Nothobranchius furzeri: one gene and its partner. The protein of the gene in region 1 interacts with the protein of each later gene in a pairwise test. Links are inferred from orthologs where the notes say so. Each region holds a gene or a part of one and is shown on either strand. Other genes may lie near its edges.

The links.
Region 2: the proteins of nupr1b (region 1) and ranbp1 interact in a two-hybrid assay, tested with the Homo sapiens proteins (2 studies listed by BioGRID and IntAct). The link is inferred for Nothobranchius furzeri from reciprocal best matches to the Homo sapiens genes NUPR1 and RANBP1.

The regions. Positions count from the first base shown.
Region 1 is NC_091745.1:29,322,006-29,325,311, forward strand, and holds nupr1b (nuclear protein 1b), read right to left. Parts: upstream 1,819-3,306; 5' UTR 1,621-1,818; coding exon 1,521-1,620; intron 1,435-1,520; coding exon 1,307-1,434; 3' UTR 1,299-1,306; intron 786-1,298; 3' UTR 502-785; downstream 1-501. UniProt on the Homo sapiens protein: Transcription regulator that converts stress signals into a program of gene expression that empowers cells with resistance to the stress induced by a change in their microenvironment.
Region 2 is NC_091757.1:31,791,574-31,795,745, reverse strand, and holds the start of ranbp1 (ran-specific GTPase-activating protein), read right to left. Parts: upstream 2,933-4,172; 5' UTR 2,802-2,932; coding exon 2,787-2,801; intron 1,631-2,786; coding exon 1,497-1,630; intron 1,268-1,496; coding exon 1,110-1,267; intron 779-1,109; coding exon 650-778; intron 567-649; coding exon 498-566; intron 421-497; exon of another isoform or gene 293-420; intron 179-292; coding exon 30-178; 3' UTR 1-29. UniProt on the Homo sapiens protein: Plays a role in RAN-dependent nucleocytoplasmic transport. Alleviates the TNPO1-dependent inhibition of RAN GTPase activity and mediates the dissociation of RAN from proteins involved in transport into the nucleus.

The DNA.
Region 1 (3,306 bases):
AACTGTCGAAACCCTTTTCGCCCCGTTCCCCCCCCCCCCCCTCCTTTTTAATTACGTGTAGCAGCACCTATGACGTACGTACACGTGCCATAACAATGAGCCGTATTGGTTAAAGAATGAAAAATGTCTGTTTAACTGAAGCAGTTGCATGTTTGAGATTTATCTCAAGTTTTTTGTCACTTGTAATATTTCAGTCAAGACATCTTTAGAGCATTTATTCTGTCAAATGCTTGAATAAATTCCCCCTGAGGTACATTTAAAATTTTTGGGACTTGTCAAGTGTATTTTTTATATGGACACCAAGTTCTTTATCAATAATCTAAACAATTTTAAGTCCACTGAACTAAAACACAAAAAGGACAAGAATGAGAAAATAACTTTTCTTTCATCGCACAATTTATGAAACAATGACAAAAGAATAAAAGATAGCCCTTGTTTTCATTTACATTTTTCCCCTTTCACTGAGATTCTAGGCTAAACAAAAACAACAACACTCTGACGTTAGTTGAAACATTTTAATTATAAAACGACCTTGTAAAAACAACCATCCTTCAGCTGCAAAGTCACAACCGAAGGTGCACCTCTGTGGCCTGAGCCATGACTCTGAACTCAGGTAAACTCCAACACCAGAGATCAGTGTACAACCCCTGCAGGCATCAGAGAAGAGGCCTGGATCTGCAGGCTCTTCGCCACGCCGAGGTTAATCCCAGCAGAGCTCCAACAAGCTCCATCAATCTGCACGTCGAGGCCGTGGTCAGTTTCCAGGTAAAGCTGTCCGAGTCGCCCTGTTAAAAACAAAAGACCAAAGCCTGGTTATTGTAAACACATCTGCAGAGCAGAACCAAGCACACAACACTGATCATTTTACACAATCATTCCAGATAGATTGATGGTCAAAATCAATCCTCCCAAATGGATTAAAACAATTAGGCAAACATGTTGTGTGCAACTTAAATCTATTTATCAACTTTCAATTTTAGGATTTTGGTTTGATGCAAATATTTGAGAACATTTCTTGAAATGGGGCGTTTTAAGCAGTAGTTGGGTTAAGTGAAGCCACCAAACAGTTCCAGCTTTCACCTGCTTTAGGTGGTAAACTCGGGTTTAAAGGGTTAATTCTGTTTGCGTCGTGGCAGCAGCTCTGCAGGAAGCGCTCCAAATCCCGGAGAAATCCAACAATTTAACGTTTATAAATGCTCGATGCTTTTGGATCCAACTAAACAAACAGCGTTCCTGTCGGCGGGGCCGTTAACCCAAACTGGACGGAGACTTTATTTCTGCAGGTGTGTTTGTTCCACCTTGGTCATCACTCCTTGGCTTTCTTCTCGCTGTTCTGGAGTTTCTCCGCGATCTTCCGCTCGTGTCCGGCGGGGTTGTGTCGGTTCGTGTTGTCGCTGGCCTCCTTCTTGGTTCGGCCTTTTCGGGCCGAGCCTTCTGCAACACACACACACACACACATTTACCCACCCTGAACCGGTCTGGAGTTCCGTTAGCTCCAGGCTAAGGAAAGAGCTGCTCACCTGCGTATTTGTCGGTCAGACTGTAATAATCATATTCGTCATAATGTTCTTCCTCGAACTTGTTGGAGGGTTTCAGGTTTTTCACGTCGACGTGACTCATGTTTGCTTCAGCTTCTCAACACAAAGACTCAGAAACGTTCACTCGGTACTTTTCTTCGGCTGGTCTCCTTGTTTTCGGTCTCCTCTCGGTGTTTTCTTCTCCTGCAGGTTTTTATAACTTACTGAGCTCCTCCTCCTCTCCTTTACTCCTCCTGCTGGTTTTCTATGGCGTTTAAAGCGTGCCACAACCCGTGCACGCGCATTGGGTCCACAGCGCGCGTGTGAACGGGACTCGCGAGCGGAAATATACATGGCGAGAGGTCATTTGTGCACTGAGAGGGAGCAAACTGTGTCTGTGAGCGCACAAGGTTGTGCACAAGTGACAAACCTGCGTGCGCGCGTTGTCAACGAGCACACGGCAGAGGAAAACGTGCGCGCGCGGCAGCCTCTGTGCGCGCTCGGCAGCCTCTCTGCGCGCTCGGTTTCTGACTCCTGCTCGCTCGGCTGTAAGGGTTTTGGCACTCTGGAGGCGTGGCCTGTGGCAGATCTTCTCTGTCCTCTGATTGGTTAGTGTACCCCGCACTTTACCCTCTACCTATCTATACAAAAAAGTCTGCTATTCAAGCAGTTGCTGGCATAGCTCAGTTGGGAGAGCGGGTGACTCTCGCCCCGGAGGATCCGGGTTCGAGGCCGGGCAAGGAAAATGCAGTAGATGTCATGTTAATTTTTCTTAATTTCAGGTATTTTACAGTTGTGACCGTTCAACTGTCATTAAACGTCCGAATGTTTGCTGGGCAGTGTTTTAAAAAGTGCACATAAGCTAGATGGTTTTAACCATAGAAAATTACATTTTTTGTGATACTGGAAAAATACATACTGAAATAAAACTACTGATTGAAAACTTTATGACTGTGGTTGTACAATATATGACTCACTAATACACTGCAAACTCCCTTAGAGTGGGGCTTCCAGAGAGAGAGAGAGAGAGAGAGAGACAGAGAGAGAAAAGTTCTTGCCTCATTAATGAATTGTTTATTTTTTTCAGTATTTAATTGACAAATTATCCTTTCAAATAATTAATTGATGAGTTACATAATTGTCCATTTAGAATTGTTGAATGGACTGAGTCAAGTTTGGTGCACTTTATATATTTCAAAACATGTTTTTTTTAATGATGCATATAAATAATTTAAATGTTAATTTAATGAAATATTTCTATTTTTTCATTACCTCACCCTTGTTTTGACAAAAACGGGACCTTGCTGGATAATATCATGGAGAAACTATTTGTTCACAGTACATGGCTCCGTAAGGATCTGTGTACCAAAGGAGGAGATACTCAGAAATCTGTCTGCAGATTGTTACAACCCAGACTGGAAGTGGCGGGCTGTAATAAGAAAGGAGACCAAACAGAGCAGTGGGGGTTCAACAACTGATTTATTTAACAAAAGTAAGGATTTACTAAAGCAAGTTAGTGAACAGAAAATGGCCATCTCAAGGTTTTACTCGGATGTCCCTCAGCAGGGTGCAGCACTGTTGAAGGTCATCTGAATGAAAGCTTGATATGCAGTTTCTTTATGAAAGTGTGTAAATATACAGTATGGTTGCCGTACATATGTTGAGGTTCTCAGACATCAGGCTTCTTTGCCCAGGCCTTCACTAGTGGGCTATTTTAAAAGTTGGTAAGGAGAAAAACCACAGCATATAGCTGATTGTTTACAAATGCAAGGAGGGGAATAACAATCAA
Region 2 (4,172 bases), on another chromosome or scaffold:
GAAGATCAGCAAAGCAAGTTCTTGGGTTTCTAATTCTTCTCCTCAGCTTTCAGCTCCTTTTTCTCATCTTTTTTCTTCTCACTTTCCTTTTTGTCCTCCTTTTCTGCAGACACCTTGTCTTTAACGGATAACCCCCCCAGCTTCTCAACCACCTGGTTCTCATTGTCGAGGTCTTCCCCTGTGTTGAAGCAATAAAACAAGCCATGGCATCAAAAGCTATGAATAATTTAACAAGCTAGCTTTTCTTCACAAAGCTTTATATTTACACCACTTGATAACTCTCTGTGTGTGTGTGTGTGTCCCAGAACATACTGACGCCAGCCCTGTAGTAAAGCTAGCACTGGTACATCCTGTGTGTTCATGTAGCAGACAGAAAAAGTCCCAAGCTGGAGTGAACAGCAAAGAACAGAGTGTGTCTGCAGCCTTTAAATGATTAAAAAGACTGGAGTTCATCTTTACCTCAATCCATTCACAACTGAGGTTTACGCTTTACTCACCTGATTTCTCTAGAACTTTTCTCACTTCCTCCTTGCATTCATCAAACTTCACCTTGAACTTCTGAGCGTCTGTGGACAGACATGATCATGTGTGAGCAAAAGTAAGCACGTATGAGCAGCTCTTAGTACAACACCTGGATTAAAGTACGTACTTTCTGCATTTAAAAAGCGTATTGCCAGGAGTTCCTGTTTGGGGGACTCATCAGCGTAATCTGCTAATGTGTTCCAGACCCATGCTCTGTCACTGCCAGCGTTTGGCTTCAACTCCATCACGGGAAAAACTGTCATTCACAAGAGGGTGCAAGGGTCATTAACACCGCTATAAAAAGAGACCACAAGTTACTTTATAAATCCAAATACTGCAGACATTTTGAGAAATTACGGAAGCTCTTTTGCAAAATCATTCTCAATTTTCCAGCTTCAGTTGCAGATCAGACAGGTGTACTGGTTAGTCACGATAGAGATGAGCATGACCTGTTTTCTCAAGTGTTTCTCCTGTTTACTCAGGATGCTAAAGAATCCAGAATACATAAGGGTTCACTTTTAATTTAAATGTACACACGCCAACAAGTCCAGCTAGGTCTTGAATTGTGGTTTGACTTAATGACTCACTATGATGATTGGCACAAATCTTCAGGGTTCGGTCTCTCCTCATCAAGAGACGAATTGTACCCTTCTCTTTGTGTTTCAGCAGCTTGACATCACCAGTTCCTCTCTCCTTCCATTCGGGTGGATCGTTCTCAGAGGCAAAGCGATAAAGTTTAGCTCGCCTAGGAAAACAGGAAAGTCCTTCATTAAACTAACTTTTATACTAACGATAAACATGAGCATTTAAAATAAAAGATTGCTTGTAGAATCTCCCCAATAACCAGCTTTTTTCCTTTTAAATTTTAATCAACAGCAAATATTTGGGCAGAAAATGGCTAATGTTCACGTCAAGAATCAAATTTGTAACCCCGTAAAGAAAATAAAACAAATGCGACAAATGAAGCATCTTACATTTTAAAGAGCTCCTCTTCGTCTTCTTCTAATGTTTTAACATCCTGCTCTGGGAGAGACACGATGGGCTCAAATTGTGGGTCGTGATTGGAGTCCTCTGTATTGTCTGCAGTGGGCTCGTGGTCTTCCTGATCCTAAGAGAAAAGAAGTGGGTTTAGAAAACGTAGCACAGCATTTATGTTTGTCGGTGCGGTTCTTGAATTTACAGGAGCAAAGTGAAGGCATCAACAAACAATAAATGTTTCAGTAAAGGAATACAAGAGCTTTGATAAACCGCAGCTTTTCATCATTATTATACACGTTTTCCTCCATTAAAGTGCTTAAAAATTCAGGAAGATGTACAGTCAGTTTTAAAGGATGGCTAAAGACAACAATTTATGTGACATGAAAAAGCCATGAAGCTACAAATTGAAAAAAATCCCATCTAAAACTTTCAGAGGGCCATTTTCCAGGTTTGATGGTTTACAAAAACGTGTTTATTCACTGATCTCAATTATCGTTTATATATCTTAAGTATGCAGCTATAATTCTAAAATGAAATTAACTCAGTCAGACTAGAGTTGTTTAATTAACCGATAACTACGTTGCCCGGCTAGTTAGAGGCCTGTAAGGCTGACGCTAGACCGCGGCTAATCATGGTTGGGCTGTTAACTCGGTCTAACGAAAACAACTAAAACACACGCTAATCTGGAAGTTCTGCATTAGTCTGGGGATAACTCAGACTTCATTACAACATTGTTGTTAATAAAACAACACGGGGTTGCTCTCCCCTTCGCCCTAGCATGAATGCTAGCATTAGCAACTGTTGTAGTAGGCAGACAAAGGCAAAAACCGCAGCTAACCGCGTTATCTGCTTCCAGCTGATGAGTAGATTAATACAACTTCGTAAAGACAACAATAAATTATTAATTGTTTGATGTTAATCGTCTAACGTTGCTACCGAGCATTGTAATGTGGCTAACATGCTGACTCGCTGGATACTTCAGTGTACTTCTCGGAGCTCGTAAACCTCAACACTACAGCGACATATTATGTCAAATTTCAAAGCAAATGTACAACACACTAGTTTCAGCGATGTTTTTATGTAACTGGCGTGAATGACAGTGGGCGAAAACACCCCAAAACGCTTTTCTAGCATCACGGAGAGCAACTTCATTGTCCGCATATCTGTCTCTTGGCTTCCTTTCCTAAATTTTGCGAATTTTCAGACACTAAATACAATTTCCGTCATGAAATTCTAATTTTAAAGGAAACTGGATGTGTAGATTAACAAAGAAAGTGTGTCCTCACCTTGGGGTCTGCCATATTAAAGTAGATGTTTAAAGATTATGGAAGTTGTTTGAGAGATTCAAATACCAAACAGACCGCCGTATGCCTCCAGCTCCTCTCACTTCCTGCTAGAGCTTTCGCGCGCCGAATCCTGTTCTTTTTCTTCTTCGTTGTTTTTATTGACGGTTAAAAAACAACGGCTTAGTGCAATACCGCCCTCAACTGGTATGGAGTCCCAGATAGCAAATTCTTTTTGGCCCTAGTTTGGCAAGCCAGTCTTGGTACTCTTTTGGATGGAATGATGGGCCAAATATGGCCCAAATTAGGCACACCAAAATATAATTATGGATTGTCAAAAGGTTGCCAGAATCATTTTTGGCACTAGTTTGGCAAGCCAGTCTTGGTACTCTTTTGGGTGGAATGATGGGCCAAATATGGCCCAAATAAGGCATGCCAAAATAGAATTATAGATTGTCAAAAGGTTGCCAGAATTCTTCCAAAATAAATTGTGGAATTCCAAAGCACAACCATAACTATACCAAAAGAACCCCAAAACACCACAAAATGGCCAAAGGATATCAAAGTGTAACCATAAGTTTGCCAAAAGATTACCCAAAATAAAATGTGGCTTTCCAAAGCATAGCCATAACTATCCCAAAATCCCACAATAAAGCCAAATATGAACTATAACTTATCCATAATTAGCCAAACGTTTACCAAAAGATTGTATTTTATTCTGAACCTTATGCTAAATTTAATTCAACATTTTAATAGACTATAAAATGTCCTTGTACAGAAGATTCAGATTTTGTGCCTTAGTTAAATAGCCTTGTGAAATAGCCTAGGTTACTGTGTGTACAAGGTGCATAAACATAAAACCAAACAAGAGTAAAATTTGAATATTTTATTTATTTGTTTTTTTAAAAGTCAGTCCTGGACTGAGTCCTGGGCTGGTTGAGGGGTTGGTTGGGCGGGCAATCTCCTTTTGCGTCCCTATCCCCAGCCCAGTAGAACCATTTTTTAATTGTATTTATAATTTCTGCCTCCGTAGATGCCACACAGACCGGATTCCTTCTCACTGCAGCTGAAAATAAAGGCATATACATGGAGAAAGACTTAAAAAAGGATGACGCAACAGTCCATGCAAAAGTGACCTGTGGTGGGCTAAGTAACTGGCTAGTTAAAAAGTCAGTTTTGCATTCGTTAATGGATTCATCTCGTCATCTGGGGTTGAAAGTGACAGCCAAAGTTACAACATCAAATCGTCATAGTCACTTAGTACTTACACTGCCACAGTTTACCAAACACAAACCAGCGGTTCTTTCCTGACACTAAAACCAAACAAGAATTTCACGAGCGAGAGTTGACCCTGAAGAACGCGTCACATTGCGGGCAAAGTGGCAATAG